Linked DNA regions of Xenopus tropicalis. The protein of the gene in region 1 binds, or shares a complex with, the protein of each later gene. Links are inferred from orthologs where the notes say so. Each region holds a gene or a part of one and is shown in the gene's direction. Other genes may lie near its edges. The genes, in order: pigt, gpaa1, pigs and pigu.

Evidence for each region.
Region 2: the proteins of pigt (region 1) and gpaa1 are in contact, whole or in part, in a cryo-EM structure (PDB 7W72), measured with the Homo sapiens proteins. The link is inferred for Xenopus tropicalis from reciprocal best matches to the Homo sapiens genes PIGT and GPAA1. Residues at the interface, in NP_057021.2 of Homo sapiens: Gln91, Gly92, Phe93, Arg95, Arg97, Tyr98, Ser108, Phe211, His212, Thr213, Ser214, Asp247, Phe249, Ile250, Arg340, Gln355, Tyr357, Val358, Ser359, Gly360, Tyr361, Gly362, Leu363, Leu371, Tyr373, Lys441, Asp459, Pro460, Asn461, His462; in NP_003792.1 of Homo sapiens: Arg97, Ser98, Val99, Gly100, Glu102, Tyr104, Arg134, Ala135, Pro136, Arg137, Ala138, Ala139, Ser140, Thr141, Glu142, Arg171, Gly172, Gln173, Ile174, Tyr199, His200, Asp201, Val202, Leu212, Gln213, Gly214, Arg215, Ala218, Arg311, Tyr312.
Region 3: the proteins of pigt (region 1) and pigs are in contact, whole or in part, in a cryo-EM structure (PDB 8IMY), measured with the Homo sapiens proteins. The link is inferred for Xenopus tropicalis from reciprocal best matches to the Homo sapiens genes PIGT and PIGS. Residues at the interface, in NP_057021.2 of Homo sapiens: Pro26, Arg27, Val63, Ser64, His65, Tyr66, Arg67, Lys71, Gln75, Lys79, Tyr80, Val133, Gly136, Lys191, Leu193, Pro194, Cys195, Ser196, Lys198, Ala199, Glu270, Pro271, Pro273, Leu274, Tyr526, Ile529, Cys530, Cys533, Val536, Ala537; in NP_149975.1 of Homo sapiens: Thr9, Glu12, Val13, Gly16, Ala19, Ala20, Phe23, Thr230, Pro238, Lys239, Tyr244, Ile247, Glu248, Val251, Gln256, Val270, Asp271, Ser272, Gln273, Ile274, Tyr276, Tyr277, Met279, Ser309, Arg310, Ser313, Ser314, Ala315, Ala316, Phe513.
Region 4: the proteins of pigt (region 1) and pigu are in contact, whole or in part, in a cryo-EM structure (PDB 8IMX), measured with the Homo sapiens proteins. The link is inferred for Xenopus tropicalis from reciprocal best matches to the Homo sapiens genes PIGT and PIGU. Residues at the interface, in NP_057021.2 of Homo sapiens: Tyr361, Gly362, Leu363, Gln364, Lys365, Arg394, Leu395, Tyr396, Val397, His398, Tyr416, Pro418, Ala419, Gln420, Asp421, Arg422, Gln445, Glu447, Leu450, Leu451, Lys452, Trp453, Thr454, Pro518, Thr519, Pro520, Asp521, Phe522, Ser523, Met524; in NP_536724.1 of Homo sapiens: Glu30, Lys42, Arg43, Val45, Glu46, Ser49, Leu50, Leu53, Val55, Ser59, Gly60, Ala61, Val62, Pro265, Asp266, Leu267, Pro269, Leu273, Trp275, Tyr276, Phe277, Phe278, Ala279, Glu280, Met281, Phe282, Glu283, Phe289, Phe293, Asn296.

What each region holds. Positions count from the first base shown.
Region 1 is NC_030686.2:41,856,461-41,862,378, reverse strand, and holds the start of pigt (GPI transamidase component PIG-T), read left to right. Parts: upstream 1-2,042; 5' UTR 2,043-2,122; coding exon 2,123-2,306; intron 2,307-3,414; coding exon 3,415-3,592; intron 3,593-4,283; coding exon 4,284-4,411; intron 4,412-4,598; coding exon 4,599-4,699; intron 4,700-5,254; coding exon 5,255-5,341; intron 5,342-5,629; coding exon 5,630-5,717; intron 5,718-5,842; coding exon 5,843-5,918. UniProt on the Homo sapiens protein: Component of the glycosylphosphatidylinositol-anchor (GPI-anchor) transamidase (GPI-T) complex that catalyzes the formation of the linkage between a proprotein and a GPI-anchor and participates in GPI anchored protein biosynthesis.
Region 2 is NC_030682.2:151,229,297-151,234,696, forward strand, and holds part of gpaa1 (glycosylphosphatidylinositol anchor attachment 1 protein), read left to right. Parts: coding exon 1-41; intron 42-1,011; coding exon 1,012-1,208; intron 1,209-1,297; coding exon 1,298-1,494; intron 1,495-2,530; coding exon 2,531-2,684; intron 2,685-3,186; coding exon 3,187-3,258; intron 3,259-3,369; coding exon 3,370-3,566; intron 3,567-4,755; coding exon 4,756-4,926; intron 4,927-5,400. UniProt on the Homo sapiens protein: Component of the glycosylphosphatidylinositol-anchor (GPI-anchor) transamidase (GPI-T) complex that catalyzes the formation of the linkage between a proprotein and a GPI-anchor and participates in GPI anchored protein biosynthesis. Binds GPI-anchor.
Region 3 is NC_030678.2:34,656,061-34,660,899, forward strand, and holds part of pigs (GPI transamidase component PIG-S), read left to right. Parts: intron 1-279; coding exon 280-380; intron 381-1,593; coding exon 1,594-1,804; intron 1,805-3,127; coding exon 3,128-3,403; 3' UTR 3,404-4,839. UniProt on the Homo sapiens protein: Component of the glycosylphosphatidylinositol-anchor (GPI-anchor) transamidase (GPI-T) complex that catalyzes the formation of the linkage between a proprotein and a GPI-anchor and participates in GPI anchored protein biosynthesis.
Region 4 is NC_030686.2:41,148,148-41,154,214, forward strand, and holds the start of pigu (phosphatidylinositol glycan anchor biosynthesis class U protein precursor), read left to right. Parts: upstream 1-2,310; 5' UTR 2,311-2,360; coding exon 2,361-2,490; intron 2,491-2,704; exon of another isoform or gene 2,705-2,819; coding exon of another isoform or gene 2,820-2,853; intron 2,854-3,509; coding exon 3,510-3,574; intron 3,575-4,333; coding exon 4,334-4,393; intron 4,394-6,067. UniProt on the Homo sapiens protein: Component of the glycosylphosphatidylinositol-anchor (GPI-anchor) transamidase (GPI-T) complex that catalyzes the formation of the linkage between a proprotein and a GPI-anchor and participates in GPI anchored protein biosynthesis.

The sequences.
Region 1 (5,918 bases):
GAATTGTGCTTAGTACAGGGGAATCCCTATGTGCCATAGTTTTATGGTATCTCTCTGTACAGGCTATGAGCAAACTTAGGGGGCTGTTCCTGCTGAATTGTGCTTAGTACAGGGGAATCCCTATGCTGCCATAGTTTTATGGTATCTCTCTGTACAGGCTATGAGCAAACTTAGGGGGCTGTTCCTGCTGAATTGTGCTTAGTACAGGGGAATCCCTATGCTGCCATAGTTTTATGGTATCTCTCTGTACAGACTATGAGCAAACTTAGGGGGCTGTTTCCGCTGAATTGTGCTTAGTACAGGGGAATCCCTATGCTGCCATAATTTTATGGTATCTCTCTGTACAGGCTATGAGCAAACTTAGGGGGCTGTTCCTGCTGAATTGTGCTTAGTACAGGGGAATCCCTATGCTGCCATAGTTTTATGGTATCTTTTTGTACAGGCTATGAGCAAACTTAGGGGGCTGTTGCTGCTGAATTGTGCTGCTTTATAAATGGAAGGAGGGAGTAGTGCATAAGGTGGCACATTTAAACTTCTCACTGCTCCCCTTTCCCTTCTGCTGGATAGTCAGCAGAGCTTTGTCAGATTATACCTGTGATCCCCAACCAGTGTCTCGGGGGCAACCACCACCCCCTTTGATGTTGATCCCAGTGGCCTCAAAGTAGGCGCCATTTTTACATTTCAGGCTTGGAGGTAAGTTTTGGAAGCACAAAGACACACCAAATAGCCAATCACAGCCCTTATTTGGCATTCCTAAAGAACTTTTTTTCATGCTTGTGTGGCTCACCAACACTTTTTACATCTGAGTGTGGCTCAAGAGTAAATCCCTGGATTATAGAATAAGGTACAGTCCAACCAGCGTAGCAGTGCCGCACCACAACCAGGGCACAGGCCCACAGCTATAAATAATAAAGATTAAATGGCTGCAGCTTACTTTTCTTTCATAGTTTCATGCTCATCTTTTCCTCCACTATTCCAGAGGAGTCATTTATTAATGAGGTGCTAAACTGCAATTGGTCCGTTCTGCTTTTTTTTCCCTTTCTATATATTACATGCATTTCTTCTTCTGTTTATCCATACTCTTCCCTTCTCCTTTGCACTCTGCTCTGTTTTCCTGCTGTAGTTTCTAAAGCTGGCCATACACGCACCGATAATATCGTACGAAACCTCGTTTCGTACGATATTAGGTGCGTGTATGGTATGTCGGCGAGTCGACCGATATCGCAGGAAGCTGATGATATCGGTCGACTCGCCGATCAGACCAGTTTGAAAATTTTGATCGGGCGCCATAGAAGGCGCCTGACCAAAATCTCCCTTCAGCGCTGAATCGGCAGAAGGAGGTAGAAATCCTATTGTTTCTACCTCCTTATCTGCCGTTTCTACCTCCTTACCTGCTGATTCAGCCCTGAATGGTGTGTGGCGGATCTGACGATGTTTCGTGCGACCGATGGTTGCACGAAACATCGTCAGATCGCCACATGTATGGCCACCTTTACTCACATTATCTGTTATCTATATGTTTTCTGTTCTTAATCTCCCTTTTCTCTGCATTCTGTGCTTTTATTTTCTTTCCTCTCAGCAACTTTGCCCTGCTCTCCTTCCCTCTTTATAGTTCTTTCTCCCATTAACTTCTTTTCAATAGTTAAAAAAGCTGTGCAGGGACTGCTACTCGCATATATACCTTATCTTATCTTGTGGAACTCCTGCACAGAGGGCTTGCTAGCTTGTAACAAACCCAGGCCATCTAACTGCATTCTCTAGTCAAGTCCATTACTTTTCAAGCGGACTCAGTTCACCAATTCTATTCTTTCGCTTTTCTCTTTGGTTCATTGCACCTCTTGGCACATTATTATATTTTGTACATCATTATATTTATTTAAGCACCAGTACCAATGAATTACTCAAGCACTACGGAACTACGGAACGCATGCGCATTACCAGTTTCCTCTCTCTCGCTTTCGATTGGACGAATCCATATCTTGCCCTGATTAGTCCCTCGATCGGCTGTCAAAGTTTATTCACGCCCTTGGTCGGTTTGATTGGCTAAGACTGCTGAACCCGTATCTAATTGGCTAATTCCTTTCATTGCCAAAGGGAAGCGGAAGGGTTGCTAGGGTGGAAGATGGCCGGCGCTGTGCTTGTAGCCGCTGCTCTGTGGGCCAGCGTTTGGGCCGGGCAGTGTGCCGAGCCGCCTGGGAGTGATGTCTTCCGAGAGGAGCTGCTCCTCACACCGCTGCGCTCCGGGGACATCGCCGCCACCTTTCAGTTTCGGACCCGCCTGGATGCCGACCTGAGGAAGGAGAAGGGTGAGGAGCTTGGGGAGGCCCGCAGCGCAGTTATATTGTGGGGATGTGCCTTACCTCAGCCTACTACTGGGTTACGGGTTCGGCATCCAGTTACCTCTAGCCAGGGATGATGGGAGTTGCAGTGCAAGAACTGACAGGAAATAACACAGAGTGCGAATGGGAGGAGGGGGGCACTGATAACGCCCTGTCTCTGGGATTGGTAGCCCCTGATACTGATTGAATACACTCCCCAGCAGGGTTTGATTGGCAATTTGCTGATCGTTGGGAGTTTTAGTTTTGGAACATATGGGGACCCATGACTAGAATCAGGCCCTATATAACATAAATAGGTACCTACAGCTAGTATGGAACTCTCTCTCTCTCCACTATTAATTATGATGATTTCAGCTATTATTTCCTATATATATATATATATATATATATATATATATATATATATATACACACAGCAGTGAAGAGATCCGCACTCACAGGACTAGTGATATAGCCGAAACGTTAGTCTTCTCAATAAACACCAGATTCATTGTATAAGTCCTGTGAGTGCGGATCTCTTCGCTGCTGTATCTAGTTCTTCATATCTAGAGAGAGTGTATTAAGTTTTATATATTTCAATAAAAGCTAATTTTTAAAAGATTCCCAGTGTGCACCGCTATACCTGTGGACTTTATTGAAATTGCTTGAATCGGTAGCACCTGGGTCAATTAGCCATTTGCTAAGGAGTGCTGAACCCTCGTGGTTTGTATATATATATATATATATATATATTCTCCTTCAGAAAGCACTCACGGTATTTGCAAAAAAAGCGAGTATTTATTTACACAAAAATGTCTACGCGTTTCGATCCATACAGGATCGTCATCAGGACGGATCAAAACGCGTAGACATTTTTGTGTAAATAAATACTCACTCTTTTTGCAAATACCGTGAGTGCTTTCTGAAGGAGAATATGTCAATTTATGGTTAGCACCCGGTTCTAATCCGCCATTTTGGTGAGTGCCGATTTTGGGACTGATATATGTATATATATATATATATATGTATGTATGTATGTATGTACACACACCAGTTTTTCATATGCTGGGTAACATCTAAATCTTTTCTCCATCAGTCTCCCACTACAGGATCTTCCCTAAAGTGCTGGGCCAGCTCATCTCTAAGTACTCCATTCAGGAGCTGCACCTTTCATTCACCCAGGGATTCTGGCGTACAAAGGCATGGGGCCCACCTCTCCTGCAGGCCCCTACTGGAGCAGAACTCTGGGTCTGGTTTCAGGATTCTGTTACTGAGTGAGTTCCTAAACAGCTCTGCCATTAATCTGAATGCGGGATGTAAAAGGCCAGCAATTCCTTTTCCTCTCTGTAACTGGCATATATATATATATATATATATATATATATATATATACTCGCAGTGCCGCAAAACCCCTCCTTTACCTTGTTCCACTTTGAAGCAATGGATTCTTGGACTTGAAGTCCCTTTGATTTCCAGAGACTCTGTGCAACACCCACTATGGAAAGCAGAATTATTATATTTTCTTTCACTATAAAAATAGTTTTTGGGTAGAGTTCCTGTTTAACTGCAGAGGTAAGGGTGATACATGTGTGTATGGGTGCTGCCCTGAGCAATAGCATATATGTACGTTATAGTTGCTTGCTGAGCAGGGCCAGATTTGTAAGCCACCCTCTGTCCATCGCCCCAGCCCCCGCGCATGCGCAAACTCGCGATCAAGCATGCACGGGTCTTTACAGTCGCATACGGAGCAGCGGGGGAGAGGTCCCCATTGCTCCATTTGTGAGAAAAACTTTAATATTTTGGTGCCCCGGGGCGGCGTGCCACCCTAGGCCCAGGCCTTTGTGGCCTTTCCACAAATCTGGGCCTGTTGCTGAGCATCGCTATACCCTCCCACAGACTTGCAAATAACTGAATTTCATGATTTCATATACATTTATTGTATTGTGTATATGTTTTTGATTGTAGTGTTAATAAAAGTTGGAAAGAGCTCAGTAACATCTTATCGGGTATTTTCTGTGCCTCTCTGAACTTCATCGACTCTACTAACACAGTTACTCCGACTGCATCCTTCAAGCCCCTTGGAGTGGCCAACAGTAAGTGTGCGATGGCTACAGAGCATCTGAAGAGGTTTCTGTGGGCGTAGCATTAGAATAACACATGTGGAATGGGATGTGTATTGCAGGGACCAAGTGCCTTATGCAGGTATCATCTATATGCATGTTGGGACGGGTGATTGCACATTAATAATTATAATATTATCCATCTTATCTGTTCCTACAGTTACAGATCATCACCTGCTCAGATATGCCACGCTTCCCAGAGAGATAGTTTGCACAGAAAATCTAACTCCATGGAAGAAACTGCTGCCTTGTGGGTCCAAGGTATTTTAACTATTGTAACTTCATGGCTGAAAATATTCCCTTTATGTACATTTCATGATTTTCACTGTCACCCCAAATAAACGCCTTCTGAAAAACCTGGTGTTCGTAGGCTTCTCCCTATAGCCCCTGGCGTTCAGAGGCTTCTCCCTATAGCCCAGGGGTGGGCAAGCTTTTTGGCTCACGGGCCACATTTACTTACCCCCGGGCCAGACCCGGCCAGGGCGGGCAGGGCCGGGCCAGCGTTACGCCCCCTTAGTCTGTTTAATTCCGGCCCGCCAATGACACCAAGTCTCGCGTGATGAGACTTGGCGTCATCGGCGGGCCGGATTAAAAAGGCCAAGGGGCCGGATGTGGCCCACGGGCCGTAGTTTGCCCACCCCTGCTATAGCCCCTGGCGTTCGGTGGCTTCTCCCAATGGCCCCTGGCGTTCGGTGGCTTCTCCCAATGGCCCCTGGTGTTCGGTGGCTTTATATGCCATCTCACTCCAGCATGTTTTTATGTGGCTACTTTGCTATTTCTGCTCCCTTGTAACTTTGTTTCTTCCTCTCTACACAGGCCGGCCTGGCATCTCTACTGAGGGCTGAACGCTTGTATCACAGCAGTTACCACTCCCAGTCTGTGCATATAAGGCCAATTTGCCAGGTAAGTACTTTTTTTAAACCAGCCCCCCTCACCTTTTGCATAAGATGGGGCTTGGAATGCTAACTATAAAGCAGAGACAGTAATTTATAAATGATAATGCATTAGGGCAAAGACGTAAAAAAAATCTGCTCATTTGGCAAGGTTGCCAAACAAGGGGATCTTTGGCTAATTTTGGCAAATTGGGCTAATACCATTGTTTGGCCCTGGGCAGCCTTATGCAGGCCTGTAGGGATAGGACCTCATTTATGGGTCAGTTTGGTCCTCTCCTGACATAATTTTCTCTTTCAGAATGCAGATTGTTCAAGTGTCTCCTGGGAGTTAAGGCAGGCCCTTACTGTGGTGTTCGATATGTATTCTAGTGGCCAGGGAAAAAGAGGTAACTAAGTACATTCATATCTGATTTTGGACTGTTTATAAGAAGTGTCTCTTCCCTTCTATAGACAGAAGTTATAAGTGCTTTTGTAAATTCCATAAAAAATGCATTGCGTTTTTGTTTTCCAGATTGGTCCATATTTAAAATGTTTTCCCGTACTGTAACTGAGTCGTGTCCTCTGGCATCACAAAGTAAAATCTATGT
Region 2 (5,400 bases), on another chromosome or scaffold:
GGAGGCCTGGCTGGAGGGCTACCATGATGTGAATGTGACAGGTATGTGATGCCTCCGTGCCCCGGGGCACCTTGGTGGATATCAGTGTTTGCTCGTCACGGGGCCCTGTACACCTTCAGGCTGTGGGTAGGAGATTTAAGGTCCCCATACACGGGCCAATTGGGACTGATTCGGCAGCTTATCGGCCCGTGTAGGGGCAGAAACGAGGGGCCTGCCCGACCGATATCTGGCCTGAAATTGGAAATTAGAAAATTCAGTCGGATCGGGGACCACATCGGCTCATTGATGCGGCGTCCGAACCAACTGGCCCATTGCCGCCAATATAATTTGATTGTTTGGCCCGAGGGCCAAAAGATCGAAATATCCTACACACTCCCCGATATCGCCCACCCGTAGGTGTATGGGGACCTTTATTATTCTACTTATTACTAGAGTTAAAGGTAAACTTTTCCTTTTACTATGTTGTAGAATGGTCTATTCTTAGCAACTTTTCAATTGGTGTTATTTTTTTTCCAGTTTTTTTAATTAATTGCCTTCATTTGCAGCTTTCAAATAGGGGTTACTGACCCCGGCAGCCAAACCCTATTGCTCTGTGAGGCTCCAGTTTTATTGTTATTGTTACTTTTTATTCCTTATCTTTCTATTCAGCCCCTCCCCTATTCATATTGCCCATGCCTCTTTCATACCACGGTCTGGTTTTTAGGTTAAATTGGACCCTAGCAACCAGATAGCTGCTGAAATTCCAAACTGGAGAGCCGCTGAACACAAAGTCAATAATTCAAAAAACACAAATAACAACAAATGTAGACCAATTGCGCAGGTCTCTTCAATAATGGAGTTAACCAGTTATTGGTACTCGCACATAGCGGTTTGGCCTGCGCTGCCTTCCTGTAGGTGGAAGGTGCTTGATTAATGCTCTGACGCAGCCCAGCTCCTACCTCATTAATAGAGTAGATAATTATTAGAGTATTACATGCCTTGCCGATCTCCCTCACACTCATGTCCTTGCAGAGATAAAGTCGTCGGTGATGTTGGGTCGGGCCGGAGCCATTCAGGCCGCCGTTTCCCTGGAGATGAGCAGCGACGTGATCACCAGCTTCGATTTGGTGGTGGAAGGTTTAAATGGGCAACTACCCAACCTTGACTTGGTCAACCTGTTCTACGCCTTCTGCCAGAAGAACACGCTGCTCTGCACCATTCAGGGCAAGGTCAGGCCGCTCCCATTGCCTTTCCTGTTGCACTTCCTTGTGCTCCTGTATTGCCTGGCTCAGCCCTGATCTCTCTCTATTACATTCAGCTTCAGAGAACTGACTTCGACACCTTCCCCGGGTACCTGCACAGCCTCCAGACAATGCTGATCATGATGCTGAAACAGGGCTCTGGGAGACCCCAAGGGGACCACGGCCTCTTCCTGCGCTACCACATCGAAGCCATCACCCTGCGGGGCATCAACAGCTTCCGCCAGTACAAATATGACATGAACACAGTGGGAAAGTAAGTGGCCATCTTCCCCCACTGTCACCTTGATCCTCACTGGCGGTTTGAGGAGTTACTGAGAATGACTAGAATGGGGGGTGTACCACAGTTTTCAAGCTTCGTACACCTCACAATCTAGTTGTTCTCAGTATCTCCTCACAACCCAGGTGACTTTTAGTGGCTTAAACCAGGGGCGGGCACTCTAGGCAACCATGCCCCCCCCGTAACGATTAGGGGGTGCCAGGCAGGAGCCTCTCCTGCCTACCCCTAGTCCTCCTTCATTGTCATAGAGCAGCGTGTTCTTATGGTGCTTTGGTGCGCATACACAGTTCGTGGGGGGTGTGTGCAATTCTATGGGTCATTGCCCCCACCGCTAATGACAAGCGGCAGGGCAATGACAAAGAAGGAGGACTATGGGTAGGCAGGAGAGGCTCCTGCCTGGCGCCCCCTAATCGTTGCGCCCTAGGCAGCTGCCTCTTCTGCCAACCCCTAGTTCCAGCCCTGGCTTATACACACATACATACATACATACATACTTACATAACATACATACTTGCATACATACATACTTACATACATACATACATACACACATACATACATACATACATACTTGCATACATACATACTTGCATACATACATACTTGCATACATACATACTTACATACATACATCATATCATGTGTAAATCCTGTGGATACATTTCTGGAAACGTCTCCATAGTGATGTGGAAACTTCCAGCCCCAACTTGGGCATCTTTGGTGACTGTTTAGAATTCTGACTCCCTCGCAATATGCTAGTGCAATGGTCGCCAACTGGTGGTACTTATTTTTGAATTTTTGGAGGCATTAAGACCAAACAGAGCCTCCTGTAGGCTGCCAGTCCAAATAGGGGCTTCAAATAACCAATCACAGCCCTTATTTGGCAGCCCCAGGTACCTTTTTTTATTCTTGTGTTGCTCCCCAGCTTTTTATGTTTTAGGTTTGCGTCCCCTGTTCATTACTTAAATGTGCTGTTTAACTTGCTGACACCATCATTTTTTCTCTTCTATAGGACCCTGGAAGGAATGTTCCGGAAGCTGAACAACCTCTCGGAGCGCCTGCACCAGTCGTACTTCTTCTACCTGCTGCCGTGCCTGTCCCGCTTTGTCTCCATCGGGATTTACATGCCGGCCATCGGCTTCTTCATCCTCATTTTGATCCTCAGGATATCCTTTCCCCAAACCCCGGGGGCTGTACTGTCCCCCTGGAGCACAGTTGGATATGGGTAGCCAGTCATAGTGCTACCTACATACAGAAAGATAAACTGCGGTTTCCTCTTCGGTCTGCCTAGCTGCTGATTGGCTGCCTTCCTACAGTGGGAGGGACTGTAAGTTCTCCTACACAGCCAGCAGAAAGTGGAAGGTTTTCTATTAAAGCTGAACAAAAGTAAACTTTAAAGGGGCAGTTCATCTTTTGGGTATGTAGTAGAATAGGGGTGGCCAATACGTCGATCACGGTCCACCCGTGGATTTCTGGTGGGCCTCGATGAAGCCGGGGATGCGGAAGTCACGTACATACGCATTCACGCCGCACTTCCGCATTTCCAAGTCTGCCCACCCCTGTTGCAGAATGACCAATTCTAAGCAGCTTTGCAATTGGTCTTCCTTATTTATTTTATATTGTTTTTGAATTATTTGCTCCCTGCTTTCTCCTTAACGATGTAATTACTCCCTGGACCTGTGGATTAAGCTGAGGCGCTCGGATGGGACGGCTGAGGACGGAGTCATGGATACAGAGCAGGTACCGTTGGGTCTGTAAGGGATCAGAGGAGGCAAAAGGGCTACGAGAAACAACCACTTTGACCCCCCAGCACAGTAATATATATATACATCTATCTGTTTCTTCCTGTAGGATCCAAGACCCGGAATCCTGTCCCTCGCGACCCCCATTGTGATCTGCCACGCTACCGGCCTGAGTCTGTACTACCTGCCAGTAATGAGCCAGGAGATGGCCACTGACCACTTCCCTGTCTCTGAATCCGAGGCCGTTGTTCTCACCGCTATCGCCATCTACGTGGCAGGACTTGCACTGCCCCACAACACACACAGGTACTGAGCCACAGCTGCGCCAGCTTGAGGGGCCCTTGTGGGCAGGTAGGCAGTGGCAGCGGGCTGGCAGCACCCATGATTGGCACAGCTACTGACCACTAATGCACACATGTAGTGACCTGGGCACGTTAGCCTTAGCTGCTAGTAGCCACAGAGGCTAGCACCAACACTATAGGCCTGACTTAATAAAATTCGTTGCCTTTTGGCCTTGAAAGTCGTATAAACTCAACATGTATACATTCGAATTAAACTCGATCGCTGCTGTAATTATAAAATGGCACGATAATGCCTGAATTGTTAAAACTCAAAATTCAAGTTTAAGCGGAACGTTAATTTCCATGGGGGGATTCATTTCCCCTTGAAACTGGGTGAAATAGAAAGCAATGGGGGGATTCATTTCCCCTTGAAACTGGGTGAAATAGAAAGCAATGGGGGGATTCATTTCCCCTTGAAACTGGGTGAAATAGAAAGCAATGAGGGGGTTAATTTCCCCTTGAAACTGGGTGAAATAGAAAGCAATGAGGGGATTAACTTCCCCTTGAACCTGGGTGAAATGGAAAACAGTGAGGGGGTTAACTTCCCCTTGAAACTGGGTGAAATAGAAAGCAATGAGGGGATTAATTTCCCCTTGAAACTGGGTGAAATAGAAAGCAATGAGGGGATTAATTTCCCCTTGAAACTGGGTGAAATAGAAACCAATGAGGGGATTAACTTCCCTTTGAACATGTGCCAAGGACAGGCTGTCAGTGACTATTCTATTCCTCTACTATTCTGAGCTTCCATAGGAAGCTTAAACCTTCCAACAAAGCAAGTTAACGATAAATCCCCCCCCATTCAGGGATGTAGAGCCCAAACACGAGGTTCTGATGCCCCTTGTGCTTCGGTGTTGCCCCTCAGGCTGCCCCCTTGTGCTTCATTATTACCCCGTAAGGTGTTGCCCCTCAGGCTGCCCCCTTGTGCTTCATTATTACCCCGTAAGGTGTTGCCCCTCAGGCTGCCCCCTTGTGCTTCATTATTACCCCGTAAGGTGTTGCCCCTCAGGCTGCCCCCTTGTGCTTCGTTGTTACCCCGTAAGGTGTTGCCCCTCAGGCTGCCCCCTTGTGCTTCGTTGTTACCCCGTAAGGTGTTGCCCCTCAGGCTGCTAGGGGTATAAGCAGTGCAGTAGCCATTTGATGCTTTGCCGTTACAGAGTTCTGAGCGGCGCCGGGTCGGACCAGGGCTGGATGACTCTCAAGCTGATCTCCTTACTGTACCTCGCTGTCCTTCTGGGCTGCATCTCCCTCATTAACTTCTCCCTGGGATTCCTGCTGGCGGTCACTATCGTCCCTGTGGCGGCCATTGTGCAACCTACTGGGCCAAGGTGAGTAGAAATCCTCTGCTCCGATCCACTGTGTAACGGTGCCGCTGTTGGTCTTGTGTGGTCTCTGATCTGTCACAGTCCCGCCCGGCAATTAATAATTATTGTTCTATTTCTAGCAACTTTGCAATTGGTCTTCATTATTTATTTTTTATGGTTATTGTATTATTTTCTGTGAGGCTCCAGTTTTATTGTTATTGTTACTTTTTATTCCTTATCTTTCTATTCAGCCCCTCCCCTATGTGCATTCCAGCCTTTCATTTAAATCACCGCATGGTTGCTAGGGTAATTTGGGCCAAAACTGGAAAGCTGCTAAATAAGAAGAATAACTCAAAAACAATAATACAAAATGGAGACCAATTGCAAACTGTCTCAGAATAGCAGTGTCTACATCCTACTAAAAGTAAACGCAAAGCTGAGCAAACCCTTTTATGATTGAGCCAAATCCAAATCCTGCCAAAAAGGGCAAATCGTGGC
Region 3 (4,839 bases), on another chromosome or scaffold:
CTGATAAACTTCAGTCACACTTTACTGCTGAGCTGCAAGTTGCAGTGATATCAGTTGCTTGAGAAGCTTTCTGAGCATATACTGTAGTTTCCTGACATATCCATAGAAGAAATGCATTTCTATATAGGAGACAGTCAGTGCCTAAAATCTAGATAACTGCTGCAGTCTCAGTTTTGGTTGCTCAGGCCTAACTAAGGAATCATGATTTCAAAGAACTAATTACTCTTCTCTTTAAGAAAAATTCCAGGTCATAACCATTGTCTATGTCTGTGTTTCTAGATATATAATGTTGATTATGGAAACCTTGGAGAGCTGCAGTTCCCGGTACACATTGATATTGACATGGTGCGAGTGATGGAGGTTTTCCTGACACAACTGCGGTAAGAAATAGGCATTTGTAAGTTGCTAAGATTGATGATGCTAGTGCTAATTATTATTTACCCTATTCTAACCAGAAGACATTGTGTCTGATAATTGTAACCAGTGCTGCTTTTTGCCTTTCAGATGATGAGACAAAGATATTTTTTATAATCATACCACCTCTAAGGTTGGACCTGAATTTGTACATTCCTTTTCTACAGCTAAAGGGCAACTTAAGCCTACAAATCCCTCCCACCACAATTATTATTTTTTATTATTTATATTAGGTATGCACCGAATCCCGGATTCGGTTCGGGATTCGGGCCGAAACCAGGGTTTTTTTTTTTTGAAGGATTCAGTTTCGGCCAAATCCACGGTCCCGGTTGAACCGAATCCTAATTAGCAAAGTGGGTTTGGTGCATCCCTAATTTTATATAGTGCTTACATATGACATAGGGCCAGCTCTGGACTGGGATTCAAAATAGGCCCTGGCATTACACAGACCCCCAACAGCTGCACGCAGCGCCGGATCTGTCTTGTGGCCGCCCCCATTGGTCGCCCCTCCCCCCCCTGTGTACGCATGCGCGAACGAGCGTCCCCCACCTCCCCTCCCTCAGGCTGCGAGCGTAAGTGCGCATGCGCAAACGTTTAAGGTCCCATTAGGAGCAGTGGGGAGAGGTCCCCATTGCTCCGTGTGGGAGCCAAATTTAAAAATGTAGTTGCGGCAGGCTGCATGCCCCCCTAAATTTGTGTTGCCCTAGGCCCGGGCCTTTGTGGCCTCACCACAAATCCGGGCCTGGCTGCACAGGGCCAATAGTCACAGTCTACGACATTTACAGCAGCAGCTCTGGCATTTTCCAGAATCCAAGGATTGCCAATCCATACATCGTTCACATAAGTCCCTGCCCAAGCGGATCTTACAGTGTAAGGTCCTTATTACACACAAGAGTTTCTCTTGATGCTTCCCTGCTCATTTCTATTGTTTTTTTGAGACACCATAGAGAGAAATGAGCAGTGAAGCATCAGGAGAAGCTTCCTACTTCGGCTTTTGCCATTCCATGGGAGCTCAAGTTTCATATACATGATATTAGCAGTTTAAAAATTACCAGTACCATCATTTTTTAATTCTACATTGTAATTCTTAGGGTATATGTCTCCATTAATACAGGATATTTGATTAACACCATGTTCTAATCCAAACTAATCTTTTTGTATGTCTTTGTATTCCACCAGATTACTATTAGGTATTACAAAGGCCGCTGTGCCAGAGGACTACCAGCTTGAAAGCCCAGGAAACGAGGGTCTGACTGACTGGGAATTAGACAGTCTCCTTTGGTCTAGAGTGGTAGAAAATATTGCTACAGTAACTACCACATTAACCTCTTTGGCTCAGCTGCTCGATCAGATTGGCAACATAGTAATAAATGATATTGTTGCTTCTGAGGTAAGTGCAGTAATATGCTTGAGAGCTTTGTGTAAGTGAAATGTGCACAGACTGCCAGCCCTGGACACAATCCTCATATTTGCAGAGAATTAGCAGCCAAGTAAATCCAGCCTAATTCACTAGCAGCTGCCACAAGCTCAGAGCCTTCTGAATATGATAAAGCCTACAAGAATGGTATTGTTTATGCTGCTTTCCTGTTACTCATACTATACAAATATATCTTGTTTAGCATGGTGTAAAAAAGGGCTAAATAAATAGTATGAGCACAGGTAAACTGGAGTAGGTGTTCTGCCACAAACACATTGTTTATTTGTATAATTTAACCCTAACATTTTCATATACTTACTGTATAGTGCTACACCAACACTATGAATTATTGGAATTGGCTAGTAAGGCTACACCTATCATGAATGGTGACACAGATGCCTCTTTATAATACAATTAGATTCTTTATAATTCTCTGCTTTCTACTGTGCCGCAACAGTTTGTGGACGGTCCTTTCTAGTTTCAAAAGGGTAATAACCCCAGGCACAAAGTAAGGTACATACAGAATGGGTTTGGATCCATGAGAGTAGAACACTTTGACTGACCTGCTTAAAGGTCTGATTTCAACTCAGCTGGACACTTGTGGGATGAATTGGAACGCCAGTGTGAGTCTGGCCTGATCTCTATGTTAGTGCCTAATTTTTTATGAATGAATGGGGGCCAATTTGACCAATTATGTTGCAACTTCTAGTGGAAAGCTTTCTAGTATAGTACAGAAACTTCGTGTTACCACAACTTCGTACTGATACCTTCTGGTTTTGAAGATGTTGAACAGACAGGTGTCCACGTACTTTTGGTCATTTAGTGTACAATAAAGGTGGTCTCCTTAGCAGCTTGCCACCGCTCTGCAGCCATTGCTGCTACATGCAACACAGCTTCCAGGATGGGTGTGCACACTCATACTGTCTATAGAAGCCATAGATTGTATTTGAGTTCCCACACTGAGTACTTGATAGTTTGTTTGTTTTTTTTTTTCATTTTAGAGCTAACCATAAAGGCAAAGTGGAATTTTTTATTTTTTTTGTGATGTACTGAAAGTTTACAGATTTATAGTTTTTTCATGAAAAAAGGTCAATACAAAATGTCACATGTTCCCTTGTAATAGTAAGCTTTCTTTACTTTAGACTTAGGTGTAGACTTACTACCATATAGTATTTTACTTTACAAAACACAGATACCTGTGACCTTGCAGATATTTCACACCTTTATGTGAGATACAGGGTATGTCATTGTACCCTGCTGTATGTGTACATTAATCCCCTTTGTTCTCTTGCCCAGGTGTATCACGCAGTGTCCTCGGTTCAGACTGCCTTGTCTGAGCTAGAAGCAGGTCGGCTAGAGTCGGCATTTCAAGCAAGCAAGGAGGCAATCAGCTCTTCTGAGAAGGCATTTTTTGACCCCTCTCTCCTTCATCTCTTGTACTTTCCAGATGATCAAAAATTTGCCATTTACATTCCTTTATTCTTGCCCATGGCTGTTCCCATTTTTTTGTCTCTCATAAAGATTGCCAAGGAATACAAGCAAAGCAAAAAGGAGCCCTTAAAAACTGAATGAAGATTTTACCATTACTACCCTATGACTTCTAGGAAGAGAACACTATTGCCTGTGTTAATTTTTTAGTTTCAGTAATGTCTGGCTGTTTTACAACATTGTGGAAGTTGTACTGCAGCTCTTCTTAAAGCAGTAGACACTCTTGAGGGGATTCTTCTGATACAAAAGTAGATTTTGTTTTTTTTTCCCTGCAACACGTCGCTGCTTGTGAGAATATTAATGCCATTGCATGTTAATTTATCCTGCATGCAGTTCACCTGTACCACCACCTAAACTGGTCACTCCAGGTCCAGACTGGAAATCTGTGGATTCTGACAAATGCCAGAGGGGCTGCTTTAAGATGCATTTAAGATGGGTGTACTGGAAATGCCAGGGCCTATTTTGACTCCCAGTCCAGACCCGAGTCACTTATTTCTACTTAATCCCACAGAGAGGCTTAAAAACAAACAACATAATCTCAGGGAACCAAGGCCTCTTACTGCATTTACGATATATGTGTATATTTGTGCATTTATTTATTATATGTCTACTTGAACTACTTGTTCAACTTGTACAATAAGTTTGCCTTTGGGTAAAGTCTTGTTCTGGAAATCATAGCTGAGCCTGCCTTAGTTACCCTTAGAGTAATGTCCCATGGTGTGATTAGTCACCCGCGATAGATCTCTGCTACCGCGGGCGAAGTCATGAAAATTTCCCCCTTTGTGCGACTTTGGAAAACCAAAGCAATGTGTAGGCCTTTCCACCAGCGATTCCCTTTGTTGCTGGTGGAAAGGCATTTTGGGCGACTAATCTCTCTGTGAGACATTACCCTTAACCTTTATATCTCCTGTTATATTTAAAATGTTTGTAAATAGTGTATTCCACAAACAGATTTTTTTTCCAGGTAAATATTTGGCTATGGGCAGAATAAAAAAGGGTTTTTAAAGCCAGCACCACAACCAAGCCAGTAAACCCCGGTAACTGGAAAAATGAACTATTATGAATGCACAGAGGCAGGCTGAGAAGTGAATTTGTGTTTCTAAACTGGCAGAGCCCAGGCTGGGTCATAAAATAAACATGGTTAGCAAAACTTCTATTGTTTATATATGGAAATATTTTCAGACTAAATTGAGCTTTCTGTGGCAGTACTTATAGACAGGACTAGTCTGGCAAATGCTGTAAGAGGCCATAGACTGTCACTATTCATTGGGCCACTATACTTTAAATCCAAGGGCTAATTTTGTATTTCAGTTTGAAGGTGCTTATAGGTTTTGTCCTGTTCTTTAAATAATCATATTTTTCTTCAAGGTTTCCCTGAAAGCCCACAATGTTCTGGCAAAGTGAGGGTTGTCCCCAAAAACGTAATAATTGTCACTTTCTGTGGCTGTTAATAAATGGGTTAAACACCCTGTGCATCACATGTGTGACGCTAGCTTCCAGTATTCTTGCACACATCGATA
Region 4 (6,067 bases), about 710 kb from region 1:
TACCCCTATATGTAATAAGGTACTAAGTTTGCCCAGGAGAGTAACCCATGGCAACCAATCTGATGATTGCTTTTAAACAGCTGAACAGAAAATTCTACCTGCTGATTGGTTGCTATGGGTTACTGCTCTTGGGCAAACTTAGTGCCTTTTATTACATAACCCTGTGCAACTAGATATAGGCTCCTTGCCCTCCCAACCTTCTCAGTGAATCTGAGCTCACATCAGCTCCTGTGGTTTTAGGACTCCTATGTCCATGGATTCTCCATCTCTCCACAAAGGCTAAATGTAAGCATTGTGGGTGGTAAATTATCCATCTCACTAGTGAGCTGCTCTGGACATTTAGTGAGGTCGGCATATATAATTCTGAAAGCAACTGCTTACAAGGTATGAGTTATAATATGGCCAGGGGGAATTAAAGACATATAATAGACTGTTACCAAATTAATCATGGGGTCCACCTTGGTGCATGGTGGCTAAAGCAACTGCAATACCCCCAATAACAGCATTATATTTATACATCCTTCAGTAATTAAACATTAAACCAATATAACTTACCTATATATATTACAGAAGTAAGAATGTGCTGTCCTTGCATACGATATAAACTGTATTAAGGTTTTGCCGGGGCCACTGCTCCTTTTAGGAAAAAATGTACCAGCTGTGGGGAAAACGTAGAGCCTTTTCCTGGTATCCCTAACACAGACTTAAGGGCCGACTACGGGGTGGGCGATATCGGGAGAATCCAGACTAACGACGGGTATAGGACGGGTATAGAAAAAGTCGGTCCAGGGATCGTATCAATGAGCTGATGCGGTCCCCGATCCGACTAGATATTTTAACCTGCCCGATTTCAGGCCAGATAGTCAGTAGTGCCCCTACACGGGCCGATTTGCTGCCCAATCAGTCTAAGGGACCGATATCGGCAGCTACTATCGGCCCATGTATGGGGACCTTTAGAATAATACATAGATCTTTACTGTAATGTATATGAACAAATCTGTAGAGGAACGCCATGGAAAGTAAAGTAATATGGTGGTGCTATGTAAGTTTTTTTTTTCCTGGACCAGTGCATTTTGTCCCTTAGATACTGACACCAGAAATCAAACTTTTTTTTTTTACAGCTATCATAACATTGCCTTAGCATGATATTTATAATATTGTTCTAAAAGTATTTGCCCAATGCTTTTACATTATGTATCTGACCCCCATATTTCTCTGTGAGGGGGCTGCCATATTTGTGCATAAGAAAGGTTGAAAGGACAGTCAGGTTAGCAAAACAGTCAGGTATATGGAACTTCAAGTAAACTATTAAGCTGGCCATACACGCATTGATATATGGTTTGTATGATTTTTGGACTGTGACCAAAATTTTGGTCGGATAACTGCCGATACCCTTGGGGGGCCCACAATGCATTTCCAGGAAGTCACTTTTGTACGATTGGTGTCTTCCAGCTATTTGTTTAGAACATCCCCAGATTTGTTATTTTTATGGCTACAATTTCAGCCATTATCTTAGTTCTAGATCAGTATTGTGCTTAAACTGCTCACCCTAGCTTCCCTGTCTGCCTCACACTCCTGGAACGCCATGTCTACAGCTTTCCTGTGTCACAACTAACTGCTTTCTTTCACTAAGCCCCATTCCTCTTCTACTAATGTCTCCATAGCATAAGGCACAAGCTTCTTCTTTATGGAAGCATCCCGTCCTATATTCTTAAACATCGTCCATCCTTCTCCTAAACTAACAGAGCACTATAAGTACCTTTGGACCAATGGGCCATATCCACAACCAACTCCTTACACTCCCTAAATATATTATCATTTGGATCAGTATTAATATTTGTACTATCATATTTAATATAAAAACACTATATACAGGGAGGACTATACACATTTAAGTTGCAAAGTTTGTGTTTGTCTAAAGACATAGCAACCAATCCACAGGTAGCATATATGGTCACCTGTTGGAAAGCAAACAGCTCATTGGCTGCCATTCATTAGGCACTTGGTTAGTCTTTATACTGTTTTCATATCACCTGGTTAAGTGACAAAATACTGCTGCTCTTTCCAGAGGTACTTTTTAAAAGTTAGTACCCGTATCATTATGTTATAAGAACCAGTTCCAGTGTCCCCTTGAGTGACCTCTATCTCCCCAGCAGCCCCAACTTTGTTGCCTGGGCTATAAAACAATTCTCCTATCACCGAGCGTATCAGCTGTAGCTCACGGAATAGACTCTTCCGTTTTCGCGCTGCATTCTGGGACTCGTAGTTTTGCAAGCTGCTGCTGTTCGTGCTGTGGGAGTGCCTGAGAACTGCAAGTCCCGTGAGCCCCCGCTTTGGCTGGGCGATCCAGCTCTGTGAAGATGGCGGCTCCTTTGGTGTTAGTAGTGCTGGTGGCCGTGACTGTGAGGGCTATTCTCTTTCGCTCCAGTCTGGCTGAGTTTATCTCGGAGCGGGTGGAAGTGGTGTCCCCGTTGAACTCATGGAAGAGAGGTGAGGGAGGGCAAGGCTGGCTGGGCAGGTGCTGGGATGGAGGCTAGGGGGAGGCTGGGGTGAGACGGGGAAGGGCTTTCTGTGACAGCTTGACAGGATGTACAAACCTGGGGCTAAGCATGTGGATGCCCCACCCTACCATATAAACAACAATGTTGGTTGCTCTGGTTAAAAGGTGAGGGATGGCGTGAAGCCTTTGCATTTTGGAGGGGAGTGGGGTAGCAAATGGTTAGTAGAGTAAAGGTATGAGATAGGGAATTGTGCTGACTTGGAGCCCCACTCGTTCTGCTGTCCCTGCTGTGAGTGTAGGCCAACACTGTGACTGCAGCATGTCAAGCAGTGGGGCATCTTCTCATGTGTCAGGTGGGTCTCATTTCCTTGGTGGGACCCCGAGACTGGGAGGGTGGGACCCCGAGACTGGGAGGATTGGGACGCCGAGACTGGGAGGATTGGGACCCCGAGACTGGGAGGATTGGGACCCCGAGACTGGGAGGATTGGGACCCCGAGACTGGGAGGATTGGGACCCCGAGACTGGGAGGATTGGGACCCCGAGACTGGGAGGATTGGGACCCCGAGACTGGGAGGATTGGGACCCCGAGACTGGGAGGATTGGGACCCCGAGACTGGGAGGATTGGGACCCCGAGACTGGGAGGGTGGGACCCCGAGACTGGGAGGATTGGGACCCCGAGACTGGGAGGATTGGGACCCCGAGACTGGGAGGATTGGGACCCTGAGACTGGGAGGATTGGGACCCTGAGACTGGGAGGATTGGGACCCCGAGACTTCCTACGTGTATGACACAACCTGTAGCCCTCAGCCTTTTTTTGTCACTAAACTGGTAATTAACATCTAAAATATGTTAGGTAGGTGGCCCTGAGTAAAGTTAAACCTCAACCTGGACTGCAATCACAGACTGGCCTGTTTTCCCATTTAATAAGAGACATTACCCTTGTTATATACATTTCCTCCTGTATAAGCAATATAACAAACTAGTGTAACTCTCATTATCTCTTGCAGTGGTGGAAGGGATGGCCTTGTTGGACCTTGGCGTGTCCCCTTACTCAGGAGATTTGTTTCATGAGGTAAGAATCTCATTGATCATGAGATACCCATAAATACATGCTTACACTATGCACGGTATATTAAGGTCCCCATACACGGGCCGACTATAGCTGCCGATATCGGTCCCTTGGACCGATTCGGCAGCTAATCGGCACGTGTCTGGGGAGAGCAGAGCGGCCTGGCCGACCGAGATCTGGCCTGAGATTGGCCAGATCTCGATCGGCCAGGTTAGAAAATCCGGTCGGATCGGGGACCGCATCGGCTCGTTGATGCGGTCCCCGATCCGACTGCCCCATTGCCGCCCACATAATCTGATCGTTTGGCCCCAGGGCCAAACGATCGGATTATTTTTTTTACCTAAATGCTCCCCGATATCGCCCACCCGTAGGTGGGGATATCGGGGGAAGATCCGCTCGCTTGGCGACATTGCCAAGCGAGCGGATCTGCTCGTGTATGGCCAGCTTTACTTTTTAAAGCTTTCATATTTTGAAGCTCTAGTTAAATGCAATCCACAGTTGCATTACATGAAAGAACTCTAGTAGATAAGTGTTATCTAGCTTAGTTTGTATGTTTCTGACTCTTGTTTGTGGGCTGAGCGCCGCCCACTGCTTAATTTTGGTTTGTGTGGGTGTATGTTTGTACCTGCAATTAAATATATTGAGTAGTAAGTGTCCAAAACAATGCTACGGTTTCATAGGAAGTGTAGGTCACATGCGTATTTAGAATAATACAGAGTTAGATTCAAAAATTTAATTTTGACATTTGTTTTTTTTCAACAGACGCCGCTCATTTTATATCTCTTCCATTTCCTTGTAGACTATGCAGAGATAGTATTCATGGTAAGTGTATAACCGTACCTTTGTCTCTATTTAATTTAGGGGGGCACAGGCAAAGTCTGCTTTATGGGAGGCAAGGATGGTGAAAGAACAGAACAGCTGACAGAGCTCCAGGTGGCTCTGCTGTCCCAAACGTGTTCTTTCACAAGCACCTTTTCTCCAGAGAAACAACCCCCAACCTTGACAGTTTTTCTTTCCCATTTATTTTCTGGGGATTAGTAGCCATGACAAGTAGTTGCTACTAAGTACAGTCATGTAAAAAAATTAGGACACCCTATGATTTTTGTATTCTTGGAGATATGGATATTTCATCTACATTTTAACAATACTGGGAGATTCAAGTAATATAACTAACCAATTAAAACTGAAGAAAAGACTTTTCAAAATCTTCTGTAAAATGTAATTCTACAAAAATGCAATTTCTGGTGAGGAATAAATCAGGACACCCCCACATTTAGTCCCGCTTTAAATGGCTAAAATCACCCACAGGTGTATCACATCAGGTGCACATGATAAGAACATCATTACTCAGCATTGTGAAGGAGGTTTGTCCTATTAAGGCTGATGCCACATGTGGCGTTTTTCCGCTGCGTATTTTCTAATTCTCTCAGTGGCTGAAAAACGCCTGATATCATCATCCATAGAAATAACTTGAAAAGACGCGAAGCAAACCACACAATGCGGAAATACGCTAGAAAACGCCTTAGCATGGATTTTTCAAGCGTTGGCCGAAATATGCCAGTATTTGCAAAGCAACCTATTCCTATGTATACACAAAGGCAGATGCCAGACCTAGCGGAAATACGCTGCGTTTTTTCCTATTTCGCACTATTAGCACCATGGAAACGGGATTTGCTTACGTCACCAGTACTAGGCTGAAAAACGCCATAGTCAGGGGCTGTATAGGTTGTGCGGCGTTTTTAGGCTGAGAAAAAACGCAGCGGAAAAACGCCACGTGTGGCATCAGCCTTGGCACGGATTTTTCAAGCGTTGGCTGAAATACGCCAGTATTTGCACAGCAAGCTATTCCTATGTATACACAAAGGTAGATGCCAGACCTAGCTGAAATACACAGCATTTTTTTACTATTTTGCACCATTAGCACCATGGAAACGGGATTTGCTATGTCACCAGTACTAGGCTGAAAAACGCCATAGTCAGGGGCTGTGTGGCTTGTGCGGCGTTTTTACGCTGCGTATTTTCTAATTTTCTCGCCGGCTGAAAAACGCACAATATCATCTTCCATAGAAAAGACTCGAAGCAAACCACACAATGTGTAAATACGCTAGAAAACACCTTACCACGGATTTTTCAAGCGTTTGCCATAATACGCCAGTATTTGCACAGCAAGCTATTCCTATGTATACACAAAGGCAGCTGCCAGACCTAGCAGAAATACGCAGCGTTTTTTACTATTTTGCACTATTGGCACCATGGAAACGGGATTTGCTATGTCACCAGTACTAGGCTGAAAAACACCATAGTCAGGGGCTGTGTGGCTTGTGCGGCGTTTTTAGGCTGAGAAAATACACAGCGTAAAAACGCCACGTGTGGCATCAGCTAAACCTCAGACATTTTGTTTGGTGTGCTCCTGGCTGTTGAGGTGAGAGTGAACACCATGGTAAGATCAAAATAGCTGTTTGAGGCCTTCAGAAAGAAGATTGTAGCAGCTAATAA